4 linked regions of the Saccharomyces cerevisiae S288C genome follow. The protein of the gene in region 1 interacts with the protein of each later gene in a biochemical or structural test. Each region holds a gene or a part of one and is shown in the gene's direction. Other genes may lie near its edges. The genes, in order: VPS27, CHC1, UBI4 and DBF2.

Region 1 (7,719 bases):
GTTTTTGATGGCTCCTTTTTTCTTAGAGTGACAGGCGCGGCAGCCCCTTAACGCGGGTACCTGAACAAGTAAATCCGAAAATTCAATTTGACAAGGGAATCATTGGGCTGACAACAATAAGATGAGCTCTCTTATATTTTTGCCCAGGGAAAAATTTTTTGCCCACTAAAGATATGCAATATTAAAAAATTTGATAAAAATAAATCAATGGGGGCGAGCCGGGACTCGAACCCGGGACCTCCCGCACCCTAAGCGAGAATCATACCTCTAGACCACACGCCCGGTAGAAGTTGTTTTAATGAATTTCAAAATATGGTACCTCAACATCAATAGATCATCAACCACAACGTAAAACATGCATGTGAGGCTTAGGTGATTTTTGAGATAATTGTTGGGATTCCATTGTTGAAAAAGGCTATAATATTAGGTATACAGAATATACTAGAAGTTCTCCTCGAGGATCTAGGAATCCTCATATTCCTCTGTTGATAATTAGAGGTTAAAAATTAGTATTAATGAAGAAATAAGTACTGATCTTCTTATACTAAATAAGAGATGTATATAAAACACACGCTGATTGGTCATATTAATCATGACCAATATAATAGTGATTCCGGTAGTTACTAAACATTGATGTGACGACTCATATTCCTCATATATGTACCTACCATAACATGTTCAACTAATAGGTCTTTAACACAGCTTCAGTATTGTCTGAGCTTCTCGTTTAACATTCCTTCTGCAATAGGCGCAATCACACTTAAACGTATACGAGGTGTACATTAATATACGATGTAAGCATTAGATTGTTACCATAGCAACTCATGTCACTATTAATTACTCTCGTTCCAACAAAACAATTCTTAAAAATTCACCAATTTAGCTTCATGGCAAGGCTTACAGATGATTAAAATCGTGTAGATCATGGAAATCGAACCTTTCACGTTCTGCAGAATTTAAAGTGACTCCATGGCCAAGTTGGTTAAGGCGTGCGACTGTTAATCGCAAGATCGTGAGTTCAACCCTCACTGGGGTCGTTTTTTTTCTTATTTCAGATAGTCTTGTCGGTAGCAAACAGTCAAATCGCTATCACTTACATGTGATATCATTTCTGTACTGCTTATGCACTATGAAGTGCGGTTTCTTTTTTATGCGATATTACATGTGTCAATAGCAAAAGGGGTAAACCGTGCTCCTATACAACAAGAACAATAGTTCGGAAATGCATGAGAACAGTGTTGTTTTATAAAGGATTCTATGTGAAATAAAACAAAGGCCGATTTGTTCGACATTTGCTGGGCTTTTCATAAATAATGGATCATAAGAATATATAATAGGGGTAAAAGTTATTTTAGCCTGCACTTTTGTGTTTTTAGAAGAACACCTTATCATTGCTAGGTAATGCGAATGGATGGACCATAATGTACGAGTTTTGTCTTGTGGCAATACCTGCGTAAGCGTTGTACCAGGCAATGAAGGCTACTATCACACCAAGGACCCCACCAGCTCTAGTGACGCCAACTTCGCCTGTGAAGTTTGCAATGGATAGAAGTAAGAAGGTCACTGCTAAGAGGAAGAATAAGGCAAAAAACATTATAGTTGATTTCATGGTGCAGACGGAAAGACCGAAGGTGAAGAGTGCCCATCCTAGGAGGTAAAACCCTAGCGCATTTCCAAGGTCGGATTCCTTGTCCTTATAGGCATCTAGAATTCCAAACCAAGGGATGTATATAGCACCGAAGCTTAACCAAAAACCGCCGAAGGAACACAGGGCTGTACCACCGAAAGTGTTCTCTAAAGCGATTTCCCAAATACCAGCAATGAGTTGAACGAGGCCACCGTAAAACATGGCACACCCAACAACAACATTAGGGATAGTGATGCCTTGGGCTCTTGCATTGAACATGGATAGGACAAACGTAGTGAGGGCAAAACCGGAAAGTCCTAGTGGAGCAGGATTTGCGAATTTATGGACTGGCGCGGGGGCTAAACCGGGATTCAGAGTACCACCGAATGCCTCGAACAAATCATCCCTTAAAAATTTTTGACGGCCGATGTAAATATACTCGTTGTTTTTGCCCGCAGTATATATTTTGCATATGGACTCTTGCGAGTGGCGGCTCTGATCGTTGTTTTCAGAGATGAACTCACCCTCGGAAGAATCGAGTGCCTTAGGGTTCTCAAAAGCGGTGTTGCCGCTGCTTTGTTCTCTGTCAGACATGCCTTTTATTTTTTTCTGTGATTGAAGATTGTTTTTGATTGATCTGTAGAATGTTACATAGTTAGTTATGGCTATTCTAGCTCTAGGTAGGACAGTTCTCCTGCTTTATATATTTTGCTTGTTCAAAGATGATCACGGCTGTTCTCGGAGTGCGTAACTGCTTGAGAGTTAAATCCGTCGAAGTTGCTGATCATTTCCAGAAATGAGGAGACTGTTGATGATCTACTGTGAAATTATTGCGGGGCTGGTAGCATCTACTGTCACTATTATTGCCATGTCGGCTGGTATCGGAGTTCTCCCTCCGCCGATTTAGGATGGAGCCGTTCCAGCCGCGTCCGCTCTTAAGCGTCCGTAATTGGTCAACAAAGCATTTCAGCCGTGGTGATTGGAAGGAAGGTCAGCTTTCCTGTATTGCGTCTCTATCTACTTACAATACGAATGATACATTGAATTACGTACTAGTGTGAGATAGGGGTAGTCAAGAACTTCAAATTGTCCATTCATCGAAATAGACCACTTCCTTGTCGTGTTTTGAAGCCGGAAACATCTTGAAGTAGTTAAAGATGGAAAATTCTTCTTCATCCTCCAAAGCCTTATTACCTGCCTCCGGCTCGCCCTCACCTTGGTTCATTTGTAGAATGCTCTCTAAGGTCACTCTATAGCAGTCATGCGTGACTTTTTCCAGCTTGTCGTCGTACACTAAGACTTCACACAAAGATCTGATATTTGAAGGGGTTAACTCGACATTGGCCACTTGTGCCGCTGTAATAAATTCCAAAATTTCTTGTGTGGTAGAGTAATTTTTTACGTTTGGAGCATAAAAGACGTTTTTTTTGGGTCCATTTTCGAAATTCTTGAAGCCATTAGGGAAGGTGTTCTCTGATATGAACCTCCAAACAATAGTCAATAAACTATTGATAAATTCTATATCCAGCTCTCCATCTGTGAACCATGGACCTCCTGTGATGTCCACAGAGGGTTGTAAGCTGTACAACATGTAGATTTTCCTTGTGGGAAACTTTACACTCTTAACACTCTTCACGTATCTTTGGGATTCTAAACTCTTCAAGCATTTAAGAACTACATGCTGATGGAGATTGGTTCTTGCCTTGATAGTCTTGGACCATATCCCTTCTCTACCGCTAGCCTCGATATAAGAATATACCAGTGCCTCTTCAGCCGACATGGTGGCTTTCTTTTGCGCCTCAGATTCTAAGACACCTTGAAATTTTAATTCGTCGTTTTGTTTTACTAATTTGATCAAGTTCTTGTCTAGCAATTCCTGTACAATGGACATCAAGTCTGTTAACGACCCGATTCCCATTTGTTTTTGGAGTTCTTGCTGTGTAAATAATGCGCCTATTCCTTTCGACATCATCTGGCTATGTAAGGTTTTAGCATTGTCCGATAGCTGTAACCCATTTTCTATCATTCCACTCATATTCAGGATATTGGCGCTGTAAATTCTTCACTTGATTAAGATTTTCTGTAATGATCTCATCTCACAAATACATCGCAAATCAACTTGAAAATTTTTAATACAATAAAAGATTTGAAGGAAAAAAAAAGTGCCTGTGCGCGATGTTACTTAAAAACAAAAAGATTAAATAATTGCAATATCATCTAGTTGGATTCTAAATATACTACCAAACAAGGGCTTAAACATTTTAATAAACGATTTACATATTTACTGTGGGTATGGCAATGGGTGAGCGTAGGTATGCTACGGTAGGCGATGTAGTGAGTAGTGCGGACGAACCGTAGCCGTAACGTTTAATGCCCCCTGCCTTTTCTTCTCAATTGCTCACATGTAAGCAAAGTCTTCCAAGAATCTGGTTTTACTCGTAGCCTTTTAACGCTGTTTTTTTTTTTTGCACACCTTTAAAACCTATAGAAACTCCTTCATATAAAATGTACTAGTTATAAGATGACTTTTTATATTCAAAATTAGAAGAAAACTTAACTAAAATTAAAAAAATAGCGGCTATTAAAAGGTATTAAAAAGTGAGAAAAAAAGAAAAAAATTATAAACTTGAGAAATCAAAGGAGACTAAATGCATAAGCAAAGAGAAGAGGATCTCCTCGGATGATAGATTTATACAATTACTCTAACTTAGAAGGTTTACTAGACGGATTAACGGACTTGAATCGAATTCCGAAGGAATACTCCGCAGTATTGGAGCCATATTTTCAGAATATAGCAAGAAATGCACATTTAAAGTCTAGAGCTCTAAAAATTTGTCGTTCTAATTTCCATAAATGGAACGAAGAAGGTGCGAAGACAGTCAATCCGGAAATTATAAGAAGATGCCTTAACCTGTGGTATGTTTTGAAGGGCAAGGAATATAAAAAGTTGAAGGATCCTCCGCCTGCTGATAATATCATTAAGGATGAGATTGATGTCTCATATGTTAAGAATTTGAATGTAGTCAGGTTGGAATTTGACGAATTTGGTAAACTCATAAGTAATCCATTAGAGAATTTGATCTTGGAAGAGGTCGAAGTGAATGATTTCATACAAGAATAAACCTAAAGTGTGTTCACTCATCTAATATGCACGGAGCCTACCTTTTAGCTTTTGCTGCCAAACTAAACCAAGATTGAAAGATATATAATCGACTATCTTTCGTCTCGTAATCTGTATCATGCAATTTAAATTAATTATCAACATAAAATGCTCTAGTTAGCACGCGCATATCCAGGAAAGTTCACCAGTAACTATGTACTAGACAAAAGCAAACTGTTCGGAGCGACCATACACCATATGTTGTTGAATCAACTTTTCTTAAGGCTCTTTCGAGTTCATCATTAACCAACCTAGGTATTTTCCCGATTTTTTGGTAATATGTCAAAACAGCTACTTTGTATACATTTATAGACGCCTGGTGTCCTTTGAGCCTCACTTATATAAAGTAACCTTCACAAGATTTTGGATTTTGGTAATACATACGCTACTGCTATTTCTTGCGGAGCAGCAGAATCATCTTGCTCGGCCTCCTTTTCTGAAAATTTCGATGATACCTGAAATAATCATCATTAGCAGAGGGAATTTAAAAATAGAGGGTGTAAAATTATCAAGATTTTTTTTTGCTAAGGTGAATGAGTAGTGAGTAAAGAACTAAGAACAGTATGTCCGTTAGCACGCCAAGTGAGTTAGACGCATTAATAGAACAAGCCACTAGTGAGAGCATTCCCAACGGTGACCTTGATCTCCCCATAGCGTTGGAAATTTCAGATGTGTTAAGATCTAGAAGGGTAAATCCCAAAGATTCTATGCGTTGTATAAAGAAAAGGATTCTCAATACGGCCGATAATCCAAATACCCAATTGTCTTCCTGGAAGCTTACCAATATATGTGTAAAAAATGGTGGAACGCCTTTTATTAAGGAAATTTGTTCCAGAGAGTTCATGGATACCATGGAACATGTCATTTTAAGAGAAGATAGCAACGAAGAACTTTCTGAGCTGGTAAAGACCATATTATATGAACTATACGTAGCCTTCAAAAATGATTCGCAACTTAACTATGTGGCAAAAGTTTATGATAAATTAATCTCTCGTGGCATTAAATTCCCTGAAAAGCTAACACTTTCCAATTCTCCGACTGCAATGTTTGACTCGAAGACGCCCGCAGATTGGATTGATTCTGATGCTTGTATGATTTGCTCCAAAAAGTTTTCTCTACTAAATAGGAAACATCACTGTCGTTCCTGTGGTGGAGTTTTCTGCCAAGAACACTCATCAAATAGTATACCCTTACCTGATTTGGGTATATATGAGCCAGTCAGAGTATGTGATAGCTGCTTTGAAGATTACGATTTGAAGAGACATGACGACAGTAAAAAATCTAAAAAACATCGCCATAAAAGAAAGAAGGACAGGGACTACTCAACTCCTGAGGATGAAGAAGAGCTGATAAGGAAAGCAATAGAACTCTCCTTGAAAGAATCTAGAAATAGCGCTAGTAGCGAGCCTATTGTCCCCGTTGTAGAATCAAAGAATGAGGTGAAGAGACAAGAAATAGAAGAAGAAGAAGATCCTGATTTAAAAGCTGCTATTCAGGAAAGCTTGAGAGAAGCTGAAGAAGCGAAGCTACGCAGTGAGCGTCAAAAAGCCTCTAGACAGATGCAACCCCAACAGCCATCACCTCAACCTCAACCTATCCATTCCGTTGATTTATCTGATGAGGAGAAAGACAGCATATACATGTTTGCTTCACTTGTCGAAAAAATGAAATCGAGGCCCTTGAACGAAATTTTGGAAGACTCTAAATTACAAAACTTGGCTCAAAGAGTATTTGCTTCCAAAGCAAGGTTGAATTATGCTTTAAATGATAAAGCTCAGAAATACAATACTTTGATAGAAATGAACGGCAAGATTTCGGAAATTATGAACATATACGATAGATTATTGGAGCAACAGCTACAAAGCATCAATTTGTCTCAGCAATACACACTTCCACAAGTCCCTTCTGATCCGTACAATTACCTAACAGAAAATGTGCAAAATCCAGCAGAAAGCTATCAAACACCTCCCCTCCAGCAACTATCATCTCATCAATACAAACCACAACAGGATGTCTCACGCCAACAATCGGTAAAAGCAAATTCATCACCTACCACTAATATTGATCACTTGAAAACCATCGATGTGACACCACACGCACAGCAAAAGCCTCAATCGCACGTTGAACTTGCACCTTCGGACCCACCTTATCCAAAAGAAGAGGCCGAAGATGAAGGAACACAGGCAGTGCAAGATGAGGAATCCTCCACACAAGAATCCCGCGAAAGGCCGTATCCAGTAGAAACAGAGAATGGTGAAACTTCAATAAATAAACGGCCTCAAGGCATTACACGTTACGATTTTCCAACTGTTCCTGCACGCAAATTCGTCCAACCGGAGTCAACTGTACCACTTCCTGCAAGTTCCTCTGAAATTCCGATCAAAGAGGAAAGGCCGCCTAGTCCTCAAGAGGAACTGCTAATAGAGCTTTAATATTGTAGCCTTTTCTATGTATTTGTAAAAAGAAACCTAGCGCTTATAAATATATACATACATATATATATAATTGCTTGTTACGCAACTTATACATATTTCTGTCATTAAACTAGTTTTTAAGGTGAATATTCATAATTTATGTCAGTATTAACATTGAAACCGTCAAAAAAAAAAGTATCAATATAGACAAAGGAAGGACCATTTTAAGAAAGTGGTTTTAAGGAAGAAACTTGTTCCTGCATATTTATAGTTAATTCCTATCTTCTTGTTTATCCTGTTTTTTGACCACCTGGCTTGCAGCTAATAGTGAAAAAACACAAATTTTTACCAACCTTCCATGGTATAGTCATGTTGTATACTCGGTGTAACACTAGTAATAAACTTTAAGAAAACAATCAAGTATTGGTCTACCCGTAACGAATCATCAATATCGTCTTGTAAATCCTCCCAGTCTCCGACACCGTCCAGCTCTTGTTCTTCCTGCAGCTCTTTCCTTC
Region 2 (10,569 bases), on another chromosome or scaffold:
AATCCACACAATCATCATGATGTTTTAGAGCTTCATTCCAACAAGTGCCAACACAGCACATTTATTATTTGTTATGTATATAATTCTGAGATATTGAGTAAACACTCAATAATTACCTGCCATCTTAGTATAGTGGTTAGTACACATCGTTGTGGCCGATGAAACCCTGGTTCGATTCTAGGAGATGGCAATTTTTTTACTACTATACATTGGTAAATGTAGTCATGTCATTGATTCGTCATAGTTATGTGAATAGTATTAGATATGTAAATAGATAGAGAGTACCGTTATGCACATAAGATGGCCTCTCACTAGGATTTTGTAACTTTTTGTTAAAACTTGGCGACACTAGTTGAATTGAAACAAAAGTCGCAAAACAGAGGGTTCGAAGGAAAACAGGAAACCTCTACTCACTTGTTTATTTTCGATAAAATTTCCGCATTAGCTGCACCACCTAACTTTTGGTCAAATTCGAAACCTCTACCGAGCATGCTGCTCAACAGCGCATGATAAGAAGGCTTCCCTGCCCCATCTGCCTCCACTGGATTATTGCGGCAAACTTCATTGAAGTAATTGTGATAGATATCGCCATCAAAGTAACCTATAGGAGAATTTAACATCGCGTCAGGTAATTCAAAGGAGTCTGTCAGACCTATACAGTCTTTCCTCACAATTGGCAAAAGAGCCAATAGTTGTGGCTGCACAACTTTAGAGATCTGATCAGGAGTGAAGATCTTGAATTGTTGGAATTCTCCGGAATGCTTGTCAATAAAATACAAGGAAAATAACTTATAAACATTCCACATAGATTCCTTTGTAATTTCATCGGAAATATGTGAATCACGAGAGTTTAACTTGTCGTAATAGGTTTTCAACATGCAGCGCAAGGCATGAAATTTGGATACTAAGACTAAAAGCTTAGAAACGCTATCAATACTTCTTGATTTTTCAACTAAAGTACCAATATGTGCCAGTAATTTGATTAAGGTGATAGACCAAATTTCAGTATAATCACCCAACTCCTTTAAACCACTCTTTATTTCTCCAGAAACCACAGATCCTATGTACTGAGGTTTTAAGTAAGAGAATGAGTCCACATCCAGTGTGTTGTCAAATCTACCCTTTGTGGCTGAATCGATAAATTTTTTCAATATTGATTTTGCTGAAGTTAAAGATAAAACATTATTATCACCCTCCCATGTGCACTGAACCACCCAGTCGTCATAGCCTTTACCAAATCCGTTATACTGTGAATACCCATGTCCTCCGCAAGTCTGTCTCAACTCATCAATCAGTGTAGCAATTAACCAAGTATTGGTGGCTTTCAAGCTGGCGCTATCAATAAATAAATTCTTCAACTTTTTACTCACGGTAACCAGAGCAGCTTTGTATGCAGATGAGGAAGCGTTGTATAACTCGTCCAAAGTGGAATAATAGTTGTCCATTAACTTAAAAGCTACAGGTGACACCAAATATGGAACACACAATTGTGGTAAAACACGATATTGGTGAAGGGGATAGTCGATTAATTGTGTTTCAGACAATCCCTTTCTAGGTGCGAATTGCTGACGACCAACCGCGTAACGTACAGCAATAGTAGCAAATTTGGAGCCAAACCTAAATGAATCCATGACCATGTTAACTCTACCACTTAACAATGCACTATAACCAGAAATTTGATCCAATTGTGGCTCAGTTTTGACGGTGACTGAACCATCTGGAGAACGGACAACTTTGGTAAATCTACTTAGCATAAATTCTCTAGGGATAACTACGTTTCTGAACTGGATCCAGCCATTATCAATACCGTCACGACCCATCTTCGCTCCAATATCCCCTATGGAAACACCAGCTAACAGTTGGAAAGTCGAAGGGTCTCTCAGAGGAACAACGAATGTTTTTACACCGTAGTCTTTACCTTCAACGATCAATCTGGCGTACACGGCAGCGTGCGTGGCAGAATGGGCAGCCCCACCAATCCACCATTTGGTGGCAGTTAGATCAGGTGTATCAATTACAAAAGTATCATTTTGCTTATCGTACACAGCCCTAGTCTGCAGCTGGGCAACATTGGAACCATGTCCTAACTCAGTCATTGCAAAACAGCCATATATACCTTTCATCAAAGTGGCACCTCTCTCCTGCAACCAATACCGGATTTGCTCATCAGTACCATTGCCCTTGATACAATTACCAAATAGCCCCAAGTGTACACCCACGCGCGTACCCAATTGAGGATCAATATTTGCTACAAGTGACAATCTCTTATCGAATATAAAAAGGTCTTTGTTTGTTAAAGGCGAAGCTTTGTCTGGATCATTTGCTTGCAACTCTTTCATCAGGTCAGTGTCGCGAAAGTGTTTGCGCACTGTTTTGATATCGTGCTCCATATAACTAGCAAGCCTAGCTATTTTTTTGGCAGTAATTTCTCTCTCTTGCATTTTTTTAGCATCGTAATAGTCCGTATCAGTTTTCAATATAGGATCATTCACTATTTGGTCTATTAAGGCGTGCGTCAGAGTTCTCCTCTCCGGGGATGACTCTAAAAATGTGTTAACTTGGTCAACTTTGATTTTCGAATCCGCCCTTTCTTTCTGGATAAATTTTTGAGGATTCAGAACCACCGAATCGGGATTAATAGTAGTACGTCTCGTCATATCGCAATACTAATTTATTATATTTTCTTTTTTTCTGTGATACTTATTAGTGTCAAGTGTGTATTCAAAAACGGAGAGCAATATTAGTGATGATGAGCGGAATGAGGAAAACTTTAAGGCCTGTTCAAGTTGTTTAAATAATTTTTACAGGTTAGACCTTTATAAACACTCTTAAAGCCCCAATGTATTAGTGCTTTGACTTAACAACGCCAACGTTCTCTTGTGTACTTGCTTGTAGGTGATTTACCCCAACGGCTATTAGCCGCTAATGACCGAATTCCTTTCGCTTCGGAGTTTAATCAACTAATACCGTAAATATAGGGCTTAAAATGTGTCAGGGTTTGAACGCAAAAAAAGGAGGTTTATAATAAAATATTAGCACATTATAGGTTTTAAAGTTAAAAAATAATAGGGTTAATTTTATTACCCTACCCCCTTTTTTTGGTCGAGATCTCGCATTTTTCGTCGCTAGGAATAAATACAAAGAGAATTAAGAAAAGTAAAAAGTGGAACTGAAGGAATCTACAGAAATAAGGAGATATTTTGATTAGTTGTTCAGAGTAACTTATTGAAACCTCGACAATCCGGATCAGAGTTGAGAGAGAAAGAAGATATTCAACTATAAAAATAAATTATCACGAAAGTTCTAACCAATGAGTGACCTACCCATTGAATTTACCGAATTGGTCGATCTGATGTCCTTAGGAATTTCCCCTCAATTCCTTGACTTCAGATCAACTACTTTCGAGAGTGACCACTTCGTCACTGTTAGAGAAACAAAGGACGGTACAAACTCTGTTGCAATCGTGGATTTGGCCAAAGGCAATGAAGTGACAAGGAAGAATATGGGCGGTGATTCTGCTATCATGCATCCATCTCAGATGGTTATTTCCGTTAGAGCAAATGGTACTATCGTGCAGATATTTAATTTGGAAACTAAGAGCAAGTTAAAGTCTTTTACTTTAGATGAACCTGTTATTTTTTGGAGGTGGTTGAGTGAAACCACTTTGGGTTTTGTTACCGCAAGATCCATACTGACCTCGAACGTCTTTGATGGTAACGTAAATGCTAAGCCTCAATTGCTTACCTTGAGACACGCTAACTTGAACAATACCCAAATTATCAATTTTGTGGCTAACAAAAACCTTGACTGGTTCGCAGTTGTTGGTATCTTACAAGAAAATGGCCGTATTGCCGGTAGAATTCAATTATTCTCAAAACAACGTAACATCTCCCAAGCTATCGACGGTCATGTTGCTATCTTTACGAATATATTACTAGAGGGTAATGGCTCGACCCCGGTACAAGTTTTCGTTACTGGTAACAGAAATGCCACCACCGGTGCTGGAGAATTAAGAATTATCGAGATTGATCACGATGCTTCATTGCCTTCTCAATATCAAAAGGAAACTACCGATATTTTCTTTCCACCAGATGCAACGAATGATTTCCCAATCGCTGTTCAGGTGTCTGAGAAATACGGCATAATTTACCTATTAACCAAGTATGGCTTCATCCATTTGTACGAATTGGAAACCGGTACCAATTTATTCGTTAATAGAATTACAGCAGAATCTGTTTTTACTGCAGCTCCGTACAATCACGAGAACGGTATTGCATGCATCAATAAAAAAGGTCAAGTTTTAGCAGTAGAGATTTCTACTTCTCAAATCGTTCCATATATCTTGAATAAATTATCTAATGTGGCACTGGCCTTAATCGTTGCTACAAGAGGTGGCTTACCAGGTGCAGATGATTTATTTCAAAAACAGTTTGAATCTTTATTGTTACAAAACGATTATCAAAATGCAGCTAAAGTTGCAGCCTCTTCCACTTCTTTAAGGAACCAAAACACCATCAACAGGTTGAAAAACATTCAAGCACCACCAGGCGCCATTTCTCCTATCCTACTTTACTTTTCAACACTATTGGATAAAGGGAAATTGAATAAAGAGGAAACAATTGAATTGGCTAGACCAGTTCTACAACAAGACAGAAAACAATTGTTCGAAAAATGGTTAAAGGAAGATAAACTAGAATGTTCAGAAGAACTAGGTGACATCGTTAAGCCTTTCGATACTACTTTAGCGCTAGCTTGCTACTTAAGAGCAGGTGCCCATGCAAAAGTTATATCTTGTCTTGCCGAATTACAACAGTTTGAAAAAATTATTCCTTACTGCCAAAAGGTTGGATATCAACCTAACTTTTTAGTGCTGATTTCTTCTTTGATTAGATCATCACCAGACAGAGCTTCTGAATTTGCCGTATCTCTATTACAAAATCCGGAAACTGCTTCTCAGATCGACATAGAAAAAATCGCAGATCTATTCTTTTCCCAAAACCATATCCAACAAGGAACCTCTCTACTTCTAGACGCGTTAAAAGGAGATACCCCAGACCAAGGTCACTTGCAAACTCGTGTTCTTGAAGTCAATCTACTACACGCACCACAAGTTGCTGACGCCATATTGGGAAACAACATCTTTTCTCATTATGACAAACCAACTATTGCTTCCTTATCCGAAAAGGCGGGACTATACCAGAGAGCTTTAGAAAATTACACAGACATCAAAGATATCAAGAGATGCGTTGTCCACACCAATGCATTACCTATCGATTGGTTAGTCGGATACTTTGGTAAGTTGAACGTTGAACAATCTTTGGCGTGCTTAAAAGCTTTAATGGATAACAATATTCAGGCTAACATCCAGACCGTAGTACAGGTGGCAACTAAATTCTCTGATTTGATCGGTCCATCTACTTTGATTAAATTATTCGAAGATTATAATGCTACGGAAGGTTTATACTATTACTTAGCCTCTTTAGTCAACCTAACCGAAGATAAAGATGTGGTTTACAAATACATTGAAGCTGCTGCTAAAATGAAACAATACAGAGAAATTGAAAGAATTGTGAAGGATAACAATGTCTATGATCCAGAAAGAGTCAAGAATTTCTTGAAGGATGCCAATCTAGAAGACCAGTTGCCTCTAGTCATAGTTTGTGACCGTTTCGACTTTGTTCATGAAATGATTTTATATTTGTACAAATCACAGAACTTAAAATTTATTGAAACTTACGTGCAGCAGGTTAACCCTTCAAAGACTGCCCAAGTTGTTGGCGCATTACTTGATATGGACTGTGATGAGGCATTTATTCAAAGTCTGCTACAATCAGTCTTAGGTCAAGTCCCTATTAATGAATTAACTACTGAGGTTGAAAAGAGAAATAGACTAAAAATATTGCTACCTTTCCTAGAACAAAGCTTAAGTCAAGGTATCCAGGATCAAGCTGTTTACAATGCCTTAGCAAAAATTTATATTGATTCCAATAATTCTCCTGAAAAGTTTTTGAAGGAAAACGACCAATATGACACCTTAGACGTTGGTCATTACTGCGAAAAAAGAGATCCCTACCTTGCATATATTGCGTATGAAAAAGGTCAAAATGATGATGACTTGATTAGAATCACTAATGAAAATAGCATGTACAAGTACCAGGCAAGATATTTGTTGGAACGTTCTGATCTCGATTTATGGAACAAAGTTTTGAATCAAGAAAATATTCACAGAAGACAATTAATTGATTCGGTCATCTCCGTTGGTATCCCTGAATTAACTGATCCTGAACCTGTTTCCTTAACTGTTCAAGCATTCATGACCAATGGATTAAAACTGGAACTAATTGAGTTGCTAGAAAAAATCATATTGGAACCTTCTCCTTTCAACGAAAATGTGGCTTTACAAGGGTTGCTATTATTGTCTGCTATTAAGTATGAACCAACTAAGGTTTCAAGCTATATCGAAAAATTAGATAACTACGACGCCGATGAAATTGCTCCATTATGTATTGAACATGATTTGAAGGAGGAAGCTTTTGAAATCTATGACAAACATGAAATGTACGGTAAAGCTTTAAAGGTTTTAATCGAAGACATCATGTCTTTAGATAGAGCTGCTTCTTATGCTGATAAAATCAATACTCCCGAATTGTGGTCTCAAATTGGTACGGCTCAGTTAGATGGATTAAGAATCCCAGATGCTATTGAGTCTTATATTAAAGCAGAAGACCCATCAAATTACGAAAATGTAATTGATATAGCCGAACAAGCCGGTAAATACGAAGAATTAATTCCATTTTTACTAATGGCTAGAAAGACTTTGAAAGAACCAAAGATCGACGGTGCTTTAATCTTGGCCTATGCTGAACTAAACAAGATTCATGAAATTGAGAACTTGTTGGCAGGTTCCAATGTTGCAAACTTAGATCATGTTGGTGATAAATTATTCGAGAATAAAGAGTATAAAGCGGCCAGGCTATGTTATTCTGCTGTTTCTAATTACTCCAAGCTTGCTTCTACCTTGGTTTACCTGGGAGATTATCAGGCTGCTGTTGACACTGCTAGAAAGGCTTCAAACATTAAAGTTTGGAAACTGGTTAACGACGCTTGTATTGAAAAGAAAGAATTCAAGCTGGCTCAAATTTGTGGGTTGAACTTGATCGTTCACGCTGAAGAATTAGATGAACTGGTGGAAAGGTATGAATCAAACGGCTATTTCGAAGAACTGATTTCATTGTTTGAAGCTGGTTTGGGACTTGAAAGAGCTCATATGGGCATGTTCACTGAATTGGCCATTTTGTATTCCAAATATGAACCAGACAAGACCTTCGAACACTTGAAGCTATTCTGGTCCAGAATAAATATTCCAAAGGTTATTAGAGCTGTCGAACAAGCTCACCTCTGGTCGGAATTGGTCTTTTTATATGCTCACTATGATGAATGGGATAATGCTGCTTTAACACTAATCGAAAAATCAACCAAAGACTTGGATCACGCCTATTTCAAAGAAGTTGTTGTCAAAGTTTCTAACTTAGAAATCTATTACAAGGCCATTAATTTCTACGTCAAATTTCACCCATCATTACTAGTTGATCTTTTGACCTCATTGACACCAAGATTAGATATTCCAAGAACTGTCAAAATTTTCTCGAAATCCGACAACTTGCCTTTAATCAAGCCTTTCTTGATCAATGTCTTACCAAAAAATAACTCAGTTGTCAACCAAGCCTACCACGATCTGATGATTGAAGAAGAAGATTATAAAGCTTTGCAAGACGCTGTTGATTCTTATGACAAATTTGACCAATTGGGATTGGCATCTCGTTTGGAATCTCATAAGCTAATTTTTTTCAAGAAAATAGGAGCCCTGTTATACCGTAGAAATAAGAAGTGGGCAAAGAGTCTTTCAATCTTGAAGGAAGAAAAGCTATGGAAGGACGCTATTGAGACGGCAGCAATCTCTCAGGATCCAAAGGTAGTGGAGGCTCTACTCACATATTTCGTTGAAACCGGTAACAGAGAAGGCTTTGTTGCTTTGCTATATGCTGCTTACAACTTAGTGAGAATTGAATTTGTTTTAGAAATATCATGGATGAATTCTTTGGAGGACTACATTAAGCCATTTGAAATCTCCATAAAAAAAGAGCAGAATGATTCCATTAAGAAAATCACCGAAGAACTCGCTAAAAAGTCCGGATCTAATGAAGAGCACAAAGATGGCCAACCTTTGATGCTGATGAACAGCGCGATGAACGTTCAACCCACAGGATTTTAAGACGTGGATAAAATAATTCGTTTGCTGTACCCCATCGTGTATTTTTTTTTTTTTTACCGTTATTATTTTGTTTGTTAGCATCTTTGATTATCTGAGGGGATTTCAAAATGCCAATAAAAAAGACCTTATGAGTTCTGTATTTTTCTTAATATTTTCGAGAGAATTTCCCAACTATAAAATTGTAGATTACAGGAATAAATAAATTGCAGAAACTAAAATGATTGAAACTGCCTTTTCAATTTATATACTTTTATATCAAATTATGTTCAACTCTAGTAGAGTTTCTTTTATTACGCAAACGTCCTATGACCTTGACCGTTAGCATTGAGTGTACATTCAGTCCATTTACATTTCTTAGCATTGATAAATACTATGCCTAAATACCATCATTATTTTTCAGATACATAAGAGTAATTTTCTGTCAGATCAAGGTCTTGCTGGTGAAACCCAGTAAGTGTTATAAAGTCTAATCTCTAAAGTTTGCACCCCTATCAGCCCTAGCAGCCTTTTTCTCTAATTCATCCCAGTCTTCACCTTCCTCACTCTCGTCGCCAGTATAGTCCTCACTTTCATCACCACTAATATCGTCATCCACCTCTGATCCTTCTTCATCTTCAGAAAATGCGCTTTCATCACTTACGTCGTCTTCTGAAGCCTCATATTCACTAACTTCTTCTTCACTTTCATCAGATGCTTCATCATCTGAACCAGTAGCCAGAAAATTCCAACCACCATCTAAGAAAAACTGATATGGATCATCTTGTAATGACTTCATAATAGTTGCCCAATTCAAATTGATTGTTGAGACAGTGTAAGGAATATCCATATCTGTTAACCACTGCTTCAAGAAATCTAAAGATTCGATCGGAACTGTATTGATATGAGTGACGGGTTTATTGAAATCTTTATAAACAAAAACCATGTCGAAGTTTTTCAAACCAAATTGAACTCTTTCTAAAATACAGATTTCGACTTCCTCTAGGTTAATCACCAAAAATGGTGGTTCAATCAATTGAACTAAACAATCTGTAGTTGGCATACAGAAAACTGCCGATCTATTTGGGACACCTTGGAAGCCCAAATCTCTAAATGTATTCTCCACCGTCAATAAACCGTTTGATGCTTCTGCGATTGCGTCTGCAAAATACTTAAATTCTTTATCAAGCGCAGCTCGTTTTCTTCTTTCTTCTTGTTCTTGTTCCAGCTCATCCTCATCACCATATCTTCTGAATCTGGATTGACCTCGTCTTCCACCTCCAGTTTCATCGACGGACATATCAGAAGCTTCACGATAGAATTGGACGTCTTGTATTTTCTTTTTACCCATTAAAATTGGATTCTTCAAATGAATATGAATGACGACAATTAATTCACCTTTACAAGATTGAAAAATTAGATTCTTAATGTTTGAGAATAATATGTCTATTCTGCTATCAGTCCTTAGTGGGGATTGAAATCTGATACCATTTTCATGGATAAAGACAGTACTAGGTACACGTTTTGTATCTGGATTTGGCCTCACAAAAATTTGATCCAGTCTTTTCGTTCTTCCAGTTTTATTTTCAATCAATTTGTCCTGTTGAACAACATCAGCAAGCGCCTTACGTTCTTGCTCTCTCTTTGTGGCTTCTTTTTTCAAATCTGCAATTTGTTTAAAGGTTTCACTCATGCGGTCACCATCTTTGGATCTTAGTGTAATCGAACGTACAAATTGATTGTCTGCTGATTCCTCATACGGCAATTCCTCCACTTTTTTAGAAATACCACCAGAAGATCCCGGTGAATTAAAGTTCAAACGTAAATACGTATATTCGCCTTCTTCGTTTTTAGAACCATTCTTATATGAATTTATATGAAATGGGACTGGCCTACCGTAAATGGGTAGAATAATTGTTTGGCTTTTCCAGTCGACATGAATTCTTAGATCACGAATATTGGTTGGTAGTTGTGAATCCCGAACATAAGATTCATATTTTTTGAAGTATTGACGAGGTTCACTATCTGGGCCATTGGCATCAGCAGCACTAAATCTGAGTAATCCATTCTTTTCCAATTTTTCGTGTAGCTTCTTTTGGTTTTCTTTACGAATTTGCTCCTTTTGAGCGTCTTCGGCACCACCACGGGCTTCGCCACGTAACTTTGTTCTTAAAATTTTGGAATTTCTGTCTGGTTTACTAGGGACTTTGGTGGCAGGTGAAGATTTCTTTTTATTATTGTCTTCTTCTTCATTATTGAAATAAAATGATATCTGGGATTTGGCTTTGGTGTAATTTGTTAAGAAGCGTGGAGGCTCTGTT
Region 3 (6,724 bases), on another chromosome or scaffold:
ATTTGAATTCTTCATCTCTAATTTTAAACCTGTTGTTTCTCGGCATAAAAAAAGTGTCTTGCCAGCCTGCAAAGTGCGAAAAATCTATAGTAGGTATGGACTGTGATAACGGGTGCCAGAAGGTTAAAATTTCTCTCGAAGCGTTATAGTGTACATTGTTGTAGACAATACCTCCTTTCACCACTTGCAGCCGGAAAACACCAGATAAATGTAACTTCTGTTTTTCTTTCAACCCCACAAACATAGTTTCATCTTCATCTCCTTCATACGTTATATTATCGATCAATTCAGCATCCAGCCCGTTCAAGTCATCACCTTCGTCGTCCTCATACTCTTCACTATTGAGAACTACGGTTGCACTTTTTGAAGATGGAATTGACGGAGATTCCACAATGAAATTATTACTTGAGTCTGAGTCCGATTCTGAACCTGAATCTTTGGTATATTGAGGTAGATCCTGTTTGGAATCTATCACCATAGCGGTAGAATATAATAGAAATGATTATCTTCTTCTCTCTGCCAAACTAAACTGCAGTCTTTCCTTATTTCAGAAGGGAAAGATCAGGAGTGGGGAACCTATACTACCTGCACTATAAGCGTGAATTAAGACAACTTAAATGCAACCTAAGCCTTAGGCGCAGAGCACTCGATGACTTGGCAGGAATAAATTTCATGTTGATAAATTTCGTACTTTTTCGGGTAGCAGCGGTGAAAAATTCGTAAGGGCAATTTTAGAAAGATGCAAACTTTCCAAGAAATATTAAAGACCAAAACATAGCCAAGAAAGCCAACTAGGGAACAATGCTTTGTGCTATTAGTGGGAAAGTTCCTAGAAGGCCAGTTCTATCACCTAAATCCAGGACTATTTTTGAAAAGTCGCTCCTTGAACAGTATGTTAAAGATACGGGGAATGATCCGATAACAAATGAGCCCTTAAGCATCGAAGAAATAGTGGAAATCGTACCTAGTGCGCAACAAGCCTCACTAACAGAGTCTACAAACTCTGCTACGTTAAAAGCGAATTATTCGATTCCGAATCTGTTGACAAGTTTACAGAATGAATGGGATGCTATAATGCTCGAAAACTTTAAGTTACGATCAACTCTAGATAGTTTAACGAAAAAACTGTCGACTGTAATGTACGAAAGAGATGCTGCAAAGTTGGTCGCTGCGCAACTATTGATGGAAAAAAACGAAGATTCGAAGGATTTACCCAAATCCTCACAGCAAGCGGTAGCTATTACGAGAGAAGAATTTTTACAAGGGCTGTTACAATCTTCTAGAGACTTTGTAGCGAGGGGCAAGCTCAAAGCACCCAAATGGCCGATTTTAAAAAATTTGGAGCTATTACAGGCACAAAATTACTCCCGTAACATCAAAACATTCCCATATAAAGAGCTTAACAAATCTATGTACTATGATAAATGGGTGTGCATGTGTCGCTGTGAGGATGGTGCTTTACATTTTACCCAATTAAAAGATTCGAAAACGATTACCACAATAACTACACCAAATCCCCGTACCGGGGGAGAGCATCCAGCTATTATTTCCAGAGGGCCTTGTAATCGTTTGCTACTACTATATCCAGGTAACCAAATAACTATATTGGACTCAAAAACAAACAAAGTCCTCAGAGAAATAGAGGTAGATTCCGCCAATGAGATTATATATATGTATGGTCACAACGAGGTCAACACAGAGTACTTCATCTGGGCGGATAATAGAGGAACCATAGGATTTCAATCCTACGAGGATGATTCCCAGTATATTGTTCATTCTGCTAAATCAGATGTTGAGTACAGCAGCGGTGTCCTACATAAGGATTCATTATTATTAGCCCTTTACTCTCCGGACGGTATATTAGACGTTTACAACTTGTCATCACCTGACCAGGCAAGCTCTAGATTCCCCGTAGATGAAGAAGCCAAGATAAAAGAGGTTAAATTTGCAGACAATGGGTACTGGATGGTAGTAGAGTGTGACCAAACTGTGGTTTGCTTTGACCTAAGAAAGGATGTCGGCACGCTAGCGTATCCAACTTACACAATCCCAGAATTCAAGACGGGCACCGTTACCTATGACATTGACGACTCTGGAAAGAATATGATTGCATACTCAAACGAGAGCAATTCGCTGACGATATACAAATTTGACAAGAAAACAAAAAATTGGACTAAAGACGAGGAGAGCGCCCTCTGTTTGCAAAGCGACACTGCCGATTTCACTGATATGGACGTGGTATGCGGAGATGGTGGTATTGCCGCTATTCTGAAGACAAATGATAGTTTCAATATTGTTGCATTGACACCCTAAATACGCTGACACGTTTGTACTTTCTAAATAAACCTGTGTAATAGTAGTAACATTTCCAGTAAAAATTTCATTTCCTTCTCTTTTTACATCTCTAGGACAACGCTTTAGTGAGAAAAAAAAAAAAAGAAAAAAGAATGAGAAAACGAAAATTGAGGTTATGTGTTGAATAAGCCTAGAAAGCATAAAGGTGTCAAAGAACGAGTACACATATAGTGAGGGGGTCGTGATGCCTTTGTTAGATACCTTCAAGAGTTTTATTCAATCACCGACGGAATCAAAGGTGAAACAGGCTACCAACGAGGACGAAACAAGTGGAGCAACGGGGACGCTTATGAACGAAATATCAATCTTGACCTACAGCCCCAAGACAGTACGAGAAATCATCCAGGTAATCCGGAAGCGATTGCTACTTGGGCAGAACAGAAGAAATTCTCATCGAAATTGTATCCAGGTGATGAAGACGCTGACTTTGGTCTCATATCTGATGAATAACGGGTCCAATGAATTCATCAAGTGGCTGAAAGGAAACATGATACTAATTGAGATCCTGGAGGATTTTCAGGTTCAGGATCCTCGGGATGAACGTAAGGCGGAAGATATTCAAAAGCTAAGCAGGAACGTTCTGGGGCTGCTGCAAGACGACGGGTTACTAGAAAAACAACGCAAGGATGTAATACAATTCCGCTCAAGCATATCGACTCCGGGCAGGAAGTCCACGGACAATAGCCATTTGAAGCTGGAGGAAATGAGAAGCGAGCTCACGCGACAAAGCTTAGAAAAGAAAGCAAAGCCTCCCACCACCAGCACTAGCTTAGATTTCCAGAGACAACGGACAAGGAATACGCACGAATATGCCCGATTCTCTTTGGATCCCCTGGCCGAAGAAGACAGTGAAGATACGCCCGGCGTGGCGGGTGGAATAAGCAAGCTCTCATTTAGACCCAAGTCTTCAAATAACCCGTTCAGATGATTTTAGAGTCTTCCTTGACCAATCATCTTATTCGCGCAGGGCAACCCATGATAGGAAATGTCCCTTTAAACGAACTGTGGGAAATCCTGCAAAAGTGATGAAAGTGACGTTTTATGAAAAGAAAGTGAAAAAGTTCTTGTTTGACAATATTCTATTCCGAAAAGTCTTTGTGGTCAGTATTGTTTCTAGAACGTTCTAGAATAATCCTGGATAAACCAATTTCGGTACCAAAAAAAAAAATAGCCGCCCAGTGGAGCATCACACAGCCGTACATCCGGCCACACACGGTGGTTACCCCACTTCGTTTCTTTTTTCAGGGGCGATGCCACTTATCAGTTGTTTTTAGAATTCAGTGTCATTTGAGGGCGGTTCCTCCTTTTGGGGGTATATATAGAGAGGCTCCGGGTTTTGCCACCTTTGAATTCGCCTGCTTATCTTTCTTCTTCCGAAAGTGCTACTTCAGAAAGAGCAAGAACTGTACGGATAAGGATAAGTATATCTTCTATCTACTACAATACGACAAGAACTCTCGAACTCTCCCTCCCACTTTACTTTAACTAATAGATTATGCAGATTTTCGTCAAGACTTTGACCGGTAAAACCATAACATTGGAAGTTGAATCTTCCGATACCATCGACAACGTTAAGTCGAAAATTCAAGACAAGGAAGGTATCCCTCCAGATCAACAAAGATTGATCTTTGCCGGTAAGCAGCTAGAAGACGGTAGAACGCTGTCTGATTACAACATTCAGAAGGAGTCCACCTTACATCTTGTGCTAAGGCTAAGAGGTGGTATGCAGATCTTTGTTAAGACTTTGACCGGTAAAACCATCACTTTAGAGGTTGAATCCTCCGACACGATCGATAACGTTAAGTCGAAAATCCAGGACAAGGAAGGTATCCCTCCGGATCAACAGAGGTTGATCTTTGCCGGTAAGCAGCTAGAAGATGGTAGAACCTTGTCTGACTACAACATCCAAAAGGAATCTACTCTTCACTTGGTGTTGAGACTGAGAGGTGGTATGCAAATTTTTGTCAAGACACTGACAGGTAAGACTATAACCCTAGAGGTTGAATCTTCTGACACTATCGACAACGTTAAGTCGAAAATTCAAGACAAGGAAGGTATTCCTCCAGATCAACAAAGATTGATTTTTGCTGGTAAGCAACTGGAAGACGGTAGAACGCTGTCTGATTATAACATTCAGAAAGAGTCTACGTTGCATTTGGTGTTGAGATTGAGAGGTGGTATGCAAATTTTCGTCAAAACTCTAACAGGGAAGACTATAACCCTAGAGGTTGAATCTTCCGACACTATTGACAACGTCAAAAGTAAAATTCAAGATAAAGAAGGTATCCCTCCGGATCAACAGAGATTGATTTTTGCTGGTAAGCAACTAGAAGATGGTAGAACCTTGTCTGACTACAACATCCAAAAGGAATCTACTCTTCACTTGGTGTTGAGACTGAGAGGTGGTATGCAAATTTTTGTCAAGACACTGACAGGTAAGACTATAACCCTAGAGGTTGAATCTTCTGACACTATTGACAACGTTAAGTCGAAAATTCAAGACAAGGAAGGTATTCCTCCAGACCAGCAAAGATTGATTTTTGCCGGTAAGCAACTAGAAGATGGTAGAACGCTGTCGGACTACAATATTCAAAAGGAGTCCACTCTTCACCTTGTCTTGAGGTTGAGGGGTGGTAACTGATCAGTCCTCGCAATATTTTCATTATGTCAATATATATATGTTTACTCTCCTTTTTTCTTTTTGGTTTTTTTTTTTTTTTGATAAATACTCCATAGAACACTAAATAAATTGTTCAACTGTGTTATTGTCTTTATTCATGTTGGTTTTCAAGAGCTTGGATTTTTGAATCGTCTTATACTATGACGTTCACTATTTTCGCGAAGCCGGGTAATACCATTAGCTATTTTGATAGAAAGGGATTTTTATTAGGGAATATAAACCACCTTTATAGTGTCCTATCATGTTTCAATCTCCAGTAAACGCACATAAGCCGACCAATTGAGTCAACCTTTTAACTCTATTTAATTTGATACGGATAGAATATTGTGACTACCAAAAGGGAAAAGGCAGAAAAAAGGAAAATTAAGAACAGTTAAATGTTAGAGTCTTTAGCTGCTAATTTGCTAAACCGATTGCTAGGCTCATATGTGGAAAATTTCGACCCTAATCAATTAAATGTCGGCATATGGAGTGGTGATGTGAAGTTAAAAAACTTAAAACTAAGAAAAGACTGTTTGGACTCATTAAATTTACCCATAGATGTGAAATCAGGGATACTGGGTGATTTGGTCTTAACGGTCCCATGGTCAAGTTTAAAGAATAAGCCCGTGAAAATCATTATCGAGGACTGTTATTTATTATGCTCACCACGTTCAGAAGATCACGAAAATGATGAGGAGATGATAAAGAGAGCTTTTCGGTTGAAGATGAGGAAGGTAAGTGAATGGGAACTGACAAATCAGGCTCGCATACTGAGTACCCAATCAGAGAACAAAACCTCTTCTTCTTCTTCAGAAAAAAATAACGCCGGGTTTATGCAGTCTTTGACTACAAAGATCATAGACAATTTACAAGTTACCATAAAAAATATCCATTTAAGGTACGAGGACATGGACGGAATCTTCACTACAGGCCCATCTTCCGTTGGATTAACTTTGAACGAGCTATCAGCTGTATCTACAGATTCCAACTGGGCTCCAAGTTTCATTGATATTACACAGAATATCACGCATAAACTATTGACTTTAAATTCACTCTGTTTGTATTGGAATACAGACTCTCCGCCCTTGATTTCTGATGATGATCAAGATAGAAGCCTGGAAAATTTTGTAAGGGGTTTCAAAGATATGATTGCATCGAAAAATTCCACTGCCCCCAAGCATCAATACATTTTGAAACCGGTTAGCGGGCTAGGGAAGCTTAGTATCAACAAGCTGGGTTCCACGGAGGAACAACCTCACATTGACTTGCAAATGTTTTATGATGAATTTGGTTTAGAATTAGATGATACAGAATATAATGATATCTTGCATGTCCTCTCCAGTATACAGTTAAGACAAATTACCAAAAAGTTTAAGAAAGCAAGACCATCCTTCGCAGTTAGTGAAAACCCGACAGAATGGTTTAAATACATTGCTGCTTGTGTTATTAATGAAATTCATGAAAAAAACAAAATGTGGACTTGGGAAAGCATGAAGGAGAAATGTGAACAACGGAGGTTGTACACAAAATTATGGGTTGAAAAGTTAAAGTTAAAAAATTTAGAAGCTCCGCTACGTGACCCCATTCAGGAGGCTCAATTATCTGAATTGCATAAAGATTTAACGTATGATGAAATTATTCTCTTCAGATCTGTCGCTAAGAGACAGTACGCGCAATATAAGTTGGGCATGACGGAAGACTCACCCA
Region 4 (7,465 bases), on another chromosome or scaffold:
GCTTTTCTTCTCAAAATTCAAGAAGAATTAAGCGCTAACTCTTCAACTTATAGGTCGTTTTTCAGCAGAGATGAATCCATCCCATACAATTTAGAAATTGTAACCTTGAACATCTTGACACCTGAAGGTTATGGATTCAAATTCAGAGTTCTAACTGAACGTGACGAAATCCTTTATTTAAGAGCTATAGCGAATGCTAGGAATGAGTTGAAACCAGAATTGGAGGCCACATTCCTAAAATTTACTGCAAAATATCTGGCTTCCGTAAGACATACTCGTACTTTGGAGAATATATCTCATTCGTATCAATTCTACTCCCCTGTGGTAAGACTATTCAAAAGATGGTTGGACACTCATTTATTACTAGGTCATATAACGGACGAATTAGCAGAGTTGATTGCCATTAAACCTTTTGTTGATCCTGCACCATATTTCATTCCAGGTTCTCTTGAAAACGGTTTCCTCAAAGTGCTTAAGTTTATAAGTCAATGGAACTGGAAAGATGATCCATTGATTTTAGATCTAGTAAAACCAGAAGATGATATAAGAGATACATTTGAAACAAGTATTGGAGCTGGCTCAGAGCTAGACTCCAAAACGATGAAAAAGCTTTCTGAAAGATTAACCCTAGCACAATATAAGGGCATTCAAATGAACTTCACGAACTTGAGGAACAGTGATCCCAACGGTACACATTTGCAATTTTTTGTTGCCTCTAAGAACGATCCAAGCGGTATTCTTTATTCATCAGGTATCCCACTACCCATTGCTACAAGGCTTACAGCATTAGCTAAAGTAGCCGTGAATCTTTTACAGACACACGGTTTAAACCAGCAAACTATCAATCTTTTATTCACGCCTGGATTAAAAGATTACGATTTTGTCGTTGATTTGAGGACACCAATAGGTTTGAAATCATCCTGTGGTATACTTTCAGCCACAGAGTTCAAGAATATAACTAACGATCAAGCCCCATCGAACTTTCCAGAGAATTTGAATGATTTAAGTGAAAAAATGGATCCAACATACCAGTTAGTGAAGTATTTGAACTTGAAGTACAAGAATAGTTTGATTTTATCAAGCCGCAAGTATATAGGTGTGAATGGTGGAGAGAAAGGAGATAAAAATGTCATCACAGGGCTAATAAAGCCACTCTTCAAGGGAGCCCACAAATTTAGAGTAAACTTGGATTGCAACGTTAAACCAGTGGATGATGAGAATGTGATTTTAAATAAAGAAGCCATATTTCATGAGATTGCTGCATTCGGGAATGACATGGTTATAAATTTTGAGACAGATTAGAATAAACAACAAAATCATAACTTTTAGAAGTATCTGTATAATATTAAATAATTAAAGCAGCCGGCAGTTTACATAAAGAATATTTTTCTTTAATTCTTTTTTTTAGATGTGGTCCTTTCGGCGATTTGGCACAAGTTAACTTAGTATTTTTAAAAGTTTTGAATAGTACTGCTGTGGCGACGCTCAGAATAAAGCTAGGTAAACGATTTGAACGCCTCAACTAGCACTATTTGATAGCATTTTGGCTGCAGAAAATATACAAAGACCTTATGAGCTCTGAAGAGGACTATTTCGATGAGCTCGAATATGACCTTGCCGATGAAGTTAATGAGGAAAAAGAAGACATACAAACTAAAAAGCTCACTACGGTAAATTGTCAAACAGAAAAATTCAATCCATTCGAAATTCTTCCGGAAAGTATAGAATTATTCAGGACGTTGGCACTCATCAGTCCTGATAGGTTATCTCTATCAGAGACAGCACAGATTTTACCAAAAATTGTCGATTTAAAAAGAATCCTTCAACAACAAGAAATAGATTTCATTAAACTGTTACCGTTTTTTAACGAAATCATCCCCCTCATCAAGAGCAATATAAAATTAATGCACAATTTTCTAATCTCACTGTACAGTAGACGTTTTCCAGAACTATCTTCATTGATACCATCACCATTACAATACTCAAAAGTGATAAGCATACTGGAAAATGAAAATTATTCAAAAAACGAAAGTGATGAACTATTTTTCCACTTGGAAAATAAAGCAAAATTGACCAGAGAGCAGATCCTCGTTTTAACAATGTCCATGAAGACGTCTTTCAAAAACAAAGAGCCATTGGACATCAAAACGAGGACGCAAATTTTAGAAGCAAATAGCATATTGGAAAATTTATGGAAACTACAAGAAGATATAGGTCAATACATAGCCTCAAAGATATCAATAATTGCCCCTAACGTGTGTTTCTTGGTAGGCCCGGAGATAGCAGCCCAATTAATAGCACATGCTGGAGGGGTTTTGGAGTTCAGTCGCATTCCCAGTTGCAACATTGCGTCCATTGGGAAGAATAAGCACCTCTCACATGAGTTACATACATTAGAGAGTGGAGTACGACAAGAAGGATATCTATTTGCTTCTGACATGATTCAGAAATTTCCCGTTTCTGTCCATAAACAAATGCTTAGGATGCTTTGTGCAAAAGTATCACTAGCCGCAAGAGTTGATGCTGGCCAGAAAAACGGTGATAGAAATACAGTTTTAGCTCATAAATGGAAAGCCGAACTATCGAAGAAAGCTAGAAAGCTATCAGAAGCCCCGAGCATTTCTGAAACGAAGGCTCTACCTATTCCGGAGGACCAACCCAAAAAGAAAAGAGCTGGGAGAAAATTTAGGAAGTACAAGGAAAAATTCAGACTATCGCATGTCAGACAATTACAAAATAGGATGGAATTTGGCAAGCAAGAACAAACTGTTCTTGATTCCTATGGTGAAGAAGTTGGTTTGGGTATGTCTAATACTTCTTTACAACAAGCAGTAGGAGCTACATCAGGTTCCAGAAGATCTGCTGGTAATCAAGCCAAGCTAACAAAGGTAATGAAGCACAGGATTTCTGAGGCTAATCAGCAAGCTGACGAATTCCTAATCTCCTTGGGTCATAATACAGAGCAACCGAATCTGTCGCCAGAGATGGTTCAAATGCACAAGAAACAGCATACTAACCCAGAAGAAGAGACCAATTGGTTTTCCGGTCATGGTTAGGGCTCTTCTACATACTTGATAATATTTAAAAAGATATTATATAGTAGTGACCGGCGAGAGCGTTTTCGCTCATAAATTTCGTAAAAAGCCAAACACCACACGCTGCAACCCAGATGCCCTTTTTAGGAAATGTAATTATTCAAAAAGTAAACAATGACATGTTTCATTCCTCAATCTAAATCATTCGAAGCTACCTTGATGTTGAAGCCCTCCGCTTGTTGTTTATTTAAAAATAAATACAAGGAGGCAATTCGTCCAAGTAAATTATTGTAAGATAGAAACCTTGCTAAAGATAGAAACTAATATACCAGAAAAATTCAAGCAACATCTACAGTATTCCTTGCTAAAGAAAAATTCTTTAATATGCTATCAAAATCAGAAAAAAATGTCGACCTCTTGGCAGGCAATATGAGCAATTTGAGTTTCGATGGGCATGGGACTCCTGGGGGCACTGGACTATTTCCTAACCAAAATATAACAAAGAGGAGGACAAGGCCTGCGGGTATCAATGATTCACCTTCGCCGGTAAAACCATCCTTTTTTCCTTACGAAGATACTTCCAACATGGACATAGACGAAGTATCTCAACCTGATATGGATGTCTCGAACTCTCCCAAGAAGCTTCCACCAAAGTTTTACGAAAGAGCAACTTCAAATAAAACACAGAGAGTTGTTAGTGTTTGCAAAATGTACTTTCTAGAACATTACTGTGATATGTTTGACTATGTAATTAGTAGAAGACAACGCACGAAGCAAGTTCTAGAATACCTGCAACAGCAAAGCCAACTTCCGAATTCTGACCAGATTAAACTCAACGAAGAGTGGTCCTCTTACTTACAAAGGGAACATCAGGTTTTGAGAAAAAGAAGGTTGAAACCAAAAAATAGGGATTTTGAAATGATCACACAAGTAGGTCAAGGTGGTTATGGGCAAGTTTATTTAGCCAGAAAGAAAGACACAAAAGAGGTGTGTGCTTTGAAAATTTTGAACAAAAAACTATTGTTTAAGCTCAACGAGACAAAACACGTTTTAACTGAAAGAGATATCCTAACCACGACAAGGTCTGAATGGTTAGTAAAACTTCTGTATGCATTCCAAGACCTACAAAGTTTATACCTGGCTATGGAATTTGTACCAGGCGGTGATTTTCGTACATTATTAATAAATACTAGATGCTTGAAAAGTGGCCATGCGAGATTTTACATCAGTGAAATGTTTTGCGCTGTTAATGCGTTACATGATTTAGGCTATACACATAGAGATTTAAAGCCGGAAAACTTCTTAATCGATGCCAAGGGACATATAAAATTAACAGATTTTGGTTTGGCTGCTGGTACGATTTCTAATGAAAGAATTGAAAGTATGAAGATAAGGTTAGAAAAAATCAAGGACCTGGAATTTCCAGCGTTTACAGAGAAATCTATAGAAGATAGAAGAAAAATGTACAACCAGTTGAGGGAGAAGGAAATTAATTATGCGAACTCCATGGTTGGGTCTCCGGATTATATGGCTTTGGAGGTTTTAGAAGGAAAGAAATATGACTTTACTGTGGATTACTGGTCGTTGGGTTGTATGCTGTTCGAAAGTTTAGTTGGTTATACACCATTTAGTGGATCATCGACTAATGAGACCTATGACAACTTAAGGCGCTGGAAACAAACTTTAAGAAGACCGAGACAATCTGATGGGAGGGCAGCATTCTCCGATAGAACTTGGGATTTAATAACAAGATTGATTGCCGATCCAATCAATCGATTAAGATCCTTCGAACATGTTAAACGCATGTCTTATTTTGCAGATATAAACTTTAGTACTTTGAGGTCAATGATCCCGCCTTTTACACCCCAACTAGACAGCGAAACTGATGCCGGTTATTTTGATGACTTCACCAGTGAGGCTGACATGGCCAAATATGCTGATGTTTTCAAAAGACAAGACAAATTAACGGCTATGGTAGATGACTCGGCAGTATCATCAAAACTTGTTGGGTTCACTTTCCGACATAGAAATGGTAAACAGGGTTCCAGTGGCATCTTATTCAACGGACTGGAACACTCAGACCCCTTTTCAACCTTTTACTAGCGTAAAAATGAATTCTTGTCTTGCATTCGCCGCGATATAATTAGCTTTAACGAGCTTCATGCAAACTTTTCAACTAGCACCTATGAACGCTTTTTTCATAAATATACATATATATATATATAGTTGTGCATTACTTAGGACTTCAAGCCCATTGTTTAAAATCTCAGTTCACGGTAACGGTCCATCCCATGACCGTTTTGAACTAAACTTAAGCATTCATGTTGGGAGCGGCGAAACTTGGTAATGTTTTACAGGAAAACAGCAATGACCACTATTAATCGAAAATCTGCAAAAAATGAAAAGGAATGGGTGTTAACATCAATTGTTTTTTCAATGATAATTACAAATTGGACTGATACTACATTGCTAGATGTACAAAAAACGCAAGGTAGCTCTCTTAGAAGGATCCATAATATATAAAAAAGGGCTTATGGTTTACTGATATCTTTTTCACTTCAAAAACTTACATATAAAAATAGGATGACAAATGCAAAGATTTTAGTAGCTCATATAAGTGAAAGCGATGCCGATGAGGCTATCAGAAAGATCAAGAAAGTGAATGAAAAATCAGGGCCCTTTGATCTAATAATTATATTCAGTAACTCGTATGATGAAAATTTTGAGCTGAATACTGATGGGTTACCTCAACTAATACTACTATCGTGTGATAAGGCTAACAATTCGAAATCCAAAAAGATAAATGAAAATGTAACATTGCTGCATAATATGGGTACTTATAAATTAGCAAATGGAATCACTCTTTCATATTTTATTTATCCGGATGATACTCTTCAAGGGGAGAAAAAAAGCATACTGGACGAATTTGGCAAAAGTGAGGATCAGGTAGACATTCTCCTTACAAAAGAATGGGGCCTTTCGATCTCTGAGAGATGTGGAAGGTTGTCTGGAAGTGAAGTTGTTGATGAATTGGCGAAAAAGTTACAAGCAAGGTACCATTTTGCCTTTTCAGATGAAATAAACTTTTACGAATTAGAGCCTTTCCAGTGGGAAAGAGAGCGCTTATCGAGGTTCCTCAATATTCCAAAATATGGATCTGGAAAGAAATGGGCCTATGCATTCAATATGCCAATAGGGGACAACGAACTAAAGGATGAACCTGAACCGCCCAACTTGATAGCTAACCCGTATAATAGCGTGGTTACAAACAGCAATAAAAGGCCACTAGAAACAGAAACAGAGAATTCGTTCGATGGAGACAAACAGGTACTTGCTAATAGAGAAAAGAATGAAAATAAAAAAATTCGAACGATTTTGCCGTCAAGTTGTCATTTCTGCTTTTCAAATCCAAACCTCGAGGATCATATGATAATATCAATCGGCAAACTAGTGTATTTAACCACAGCGAAGGGACCTTTAAGTGTTCCTAAGGGTGATATGGATATCTCAGGCCATTGCCTCATTATTCCCATTGAACATATTCCGAAATTAGATCCAAGCAAGAACGCAGAGTTGACACAGAGTATTTTGGCTTATGAAGCTAGTCTTGTGAAGATGAACTACATAAAATTTGATATGTGCACGATTGTCTTCGAAATACAGTCTGAACGTTCTATTCATTTCCACAAACAAGTTATTCCCGTTCCAAAATACCTCGTTCTAAAGTTCTGCAGTGCCTTAGATAGACAGGTTCATTTCAATAACGAAAAATTCACAAGAAATGCTAAGCTAGAGTTCCAATGTTACGATTCACACTCTTCCAAACAATATGTGGATGTAATTAACAACCAATCCAATAATTATTTACAATTTACCGTCTACGAGACTCCTGAAGCGGACCCAAAGATATATTTGGCCACATTTAATGCCAGTGAGACAATAGATCTGCAGTTTGGACGACGTGTACTAGCCTTTTTACTTAACTTGCCACGCAGGGTGAAATGGAATTCTTCAACCTGTTTACAAACTAAGCAACAAGAGACTATAGAGGCTGAAAAGTTTCAAAAGGCCTACAGGACCTATGACATTTCTCTCACAGAAAACTAAACTAAAACTATTTCATTTAGAATTTCAAATATATCCAAATATATGTATATATATGTAGAATACTAAGTCATGCTACCTCTGAACGTTTAAGAGACCTAGCAACTCAGAGGTGATGAATTAAAAGAAAAACCGGGTAAAGTTCTTCGAGAGACCGCGCTGAAAAAATTTTTTTAGAAGAGTCACCCATACAGCCTACTGGTGTTCTCTGTGTGTGCTACCACTGGCTGTCATCGTTGTTGTATGTCCTTCAGATTTATGGAATTACTTAGATGGTATGAATAAGTGGTTAAACACATTATCTAAGACATTCACTTTTCGGCTTT

Evidence for each region.
Region 2: the proteins of VPS27 (region 1) and CHC1 form a complex in vitro, tested with the Saccharomyces cerevisiae proteins (one study listed by BioGRID).
Region 3: the proteins of VPS27 (region 1) and UBI4 form a complex in vitro, tested with the Saccharomyces cerevisiae proteins (8 studies listed by BioGRID, with this or other methods).
Region 4: of the proteins of VPS27 (region 1) and DBF2, one has a biochemical effect on the other in vitro, tested with the Saccharomyces cerevisiae proteins (2 studies listed by BioGRID).

Annotation. Positions count from the first base shown.
Region 1 is NC_001146.8:631,636-639,354, forward strand, and holds VPS27 (ESCRT-0 subunit protein VPS27), read left to right. Parts: upstream 1-5,350; coding exon 5,351-7,219; downstream 7,220-7,719. Other genes in the region: putative ammonium permease ATO2, read right to left, coding at 1,373-2,221; RPC34 (DNA-directed RNA polymerase III subunit C34), read right to left, coding at 2,709-3,662; SWM2 (Swm2p), read left to right, coding at 4,308-4,748; ATG3 (Atg3p), read right to left, coding at 7,547-7,719. UniProt on the Saccharomyces cerevisiae protein: Component of the ESCRT-0 complex which is the sorting receptor for ubiquitinated cargo proteins at the multivesicular body (MVB) and recruits ESCRT-I to the MVB outer membrane.
Region 2 is NC_001139.9:100,246-110,814, reverse strand, and holds CHC1 (clathrin heavy chain), read left to right. Parts: upstream 1-3,310; coding exon 3,311-8,272; downstream 8,273-10,569. Other genes in the region: POX1 (acyl-CoA oxidase), read right to left, coding at 411-2,657; chromatin-remodeling protein SPT16, read right to left, coding at 8,739-10,569. UniProt on the Saccharomyces cerevisiae protein: Clathrin is the major protein of the polyhedral coat of coated pits and vesicles. In yeast, it is involved in the retention of proteins in an intracellular membrane compartment, presumably the trans-Golgi.
Region 3 is NC_001144.5:62,334-69,057, reverse strand, and holds UBI4 (ubiquitin), read left to right. Parts: upstream 1-3,850; coding exon 3,851-4,996; downstream 4,997-6,724. Other genes in the region: GRC3 (polynucleotide 5'-hydroxyl-kinase), read right to left, coding at 1-478; E3 ubiquitin-protein ligase PRP19, read left to right, coding at 802-2,313; ENT4 (Ent4p), read left to right, coding at 2,540-3,283; membrane morphogenesis protein VPS13, read left to right, coding at 5,413-6,724. UniProt on the Saccharomyces cerevisiae protein: Ubiquitin exists either covalently attached to another protein, or free (unanchored).
Region 4 is NC_001139.9:664,770-672,234, forward strand, and holds DBF2 (serine/threonine-protein kinase DBF2), read left to right. Parts: upstream 1-3,419; coding exon 3,420-5,138; downstream 5,139-7,465. Other genes in the region: rRNA-processing protein UTP22, read left to right, coding at 1-1,302; U4/U6-U5 snRNP complex subunit PRP31, read left to right, coding at 1,572-3,056; DRN1 (Drn1p), read left to right, coding at 5,619-7,142; VAS1 (valine--tRNA ligase), read left to right, coding at 7,417-7,465. UniProt on the Saccharomyces cerevisiae protein: Ser/Thr-protein kinase involved in the mitotic exit network (MEN) and required after the metaphase to anaphase cell cycle transition. Phosphorylates CHS2 to regulate its dynamics and chitin synthesis at the division site during cytokinesis.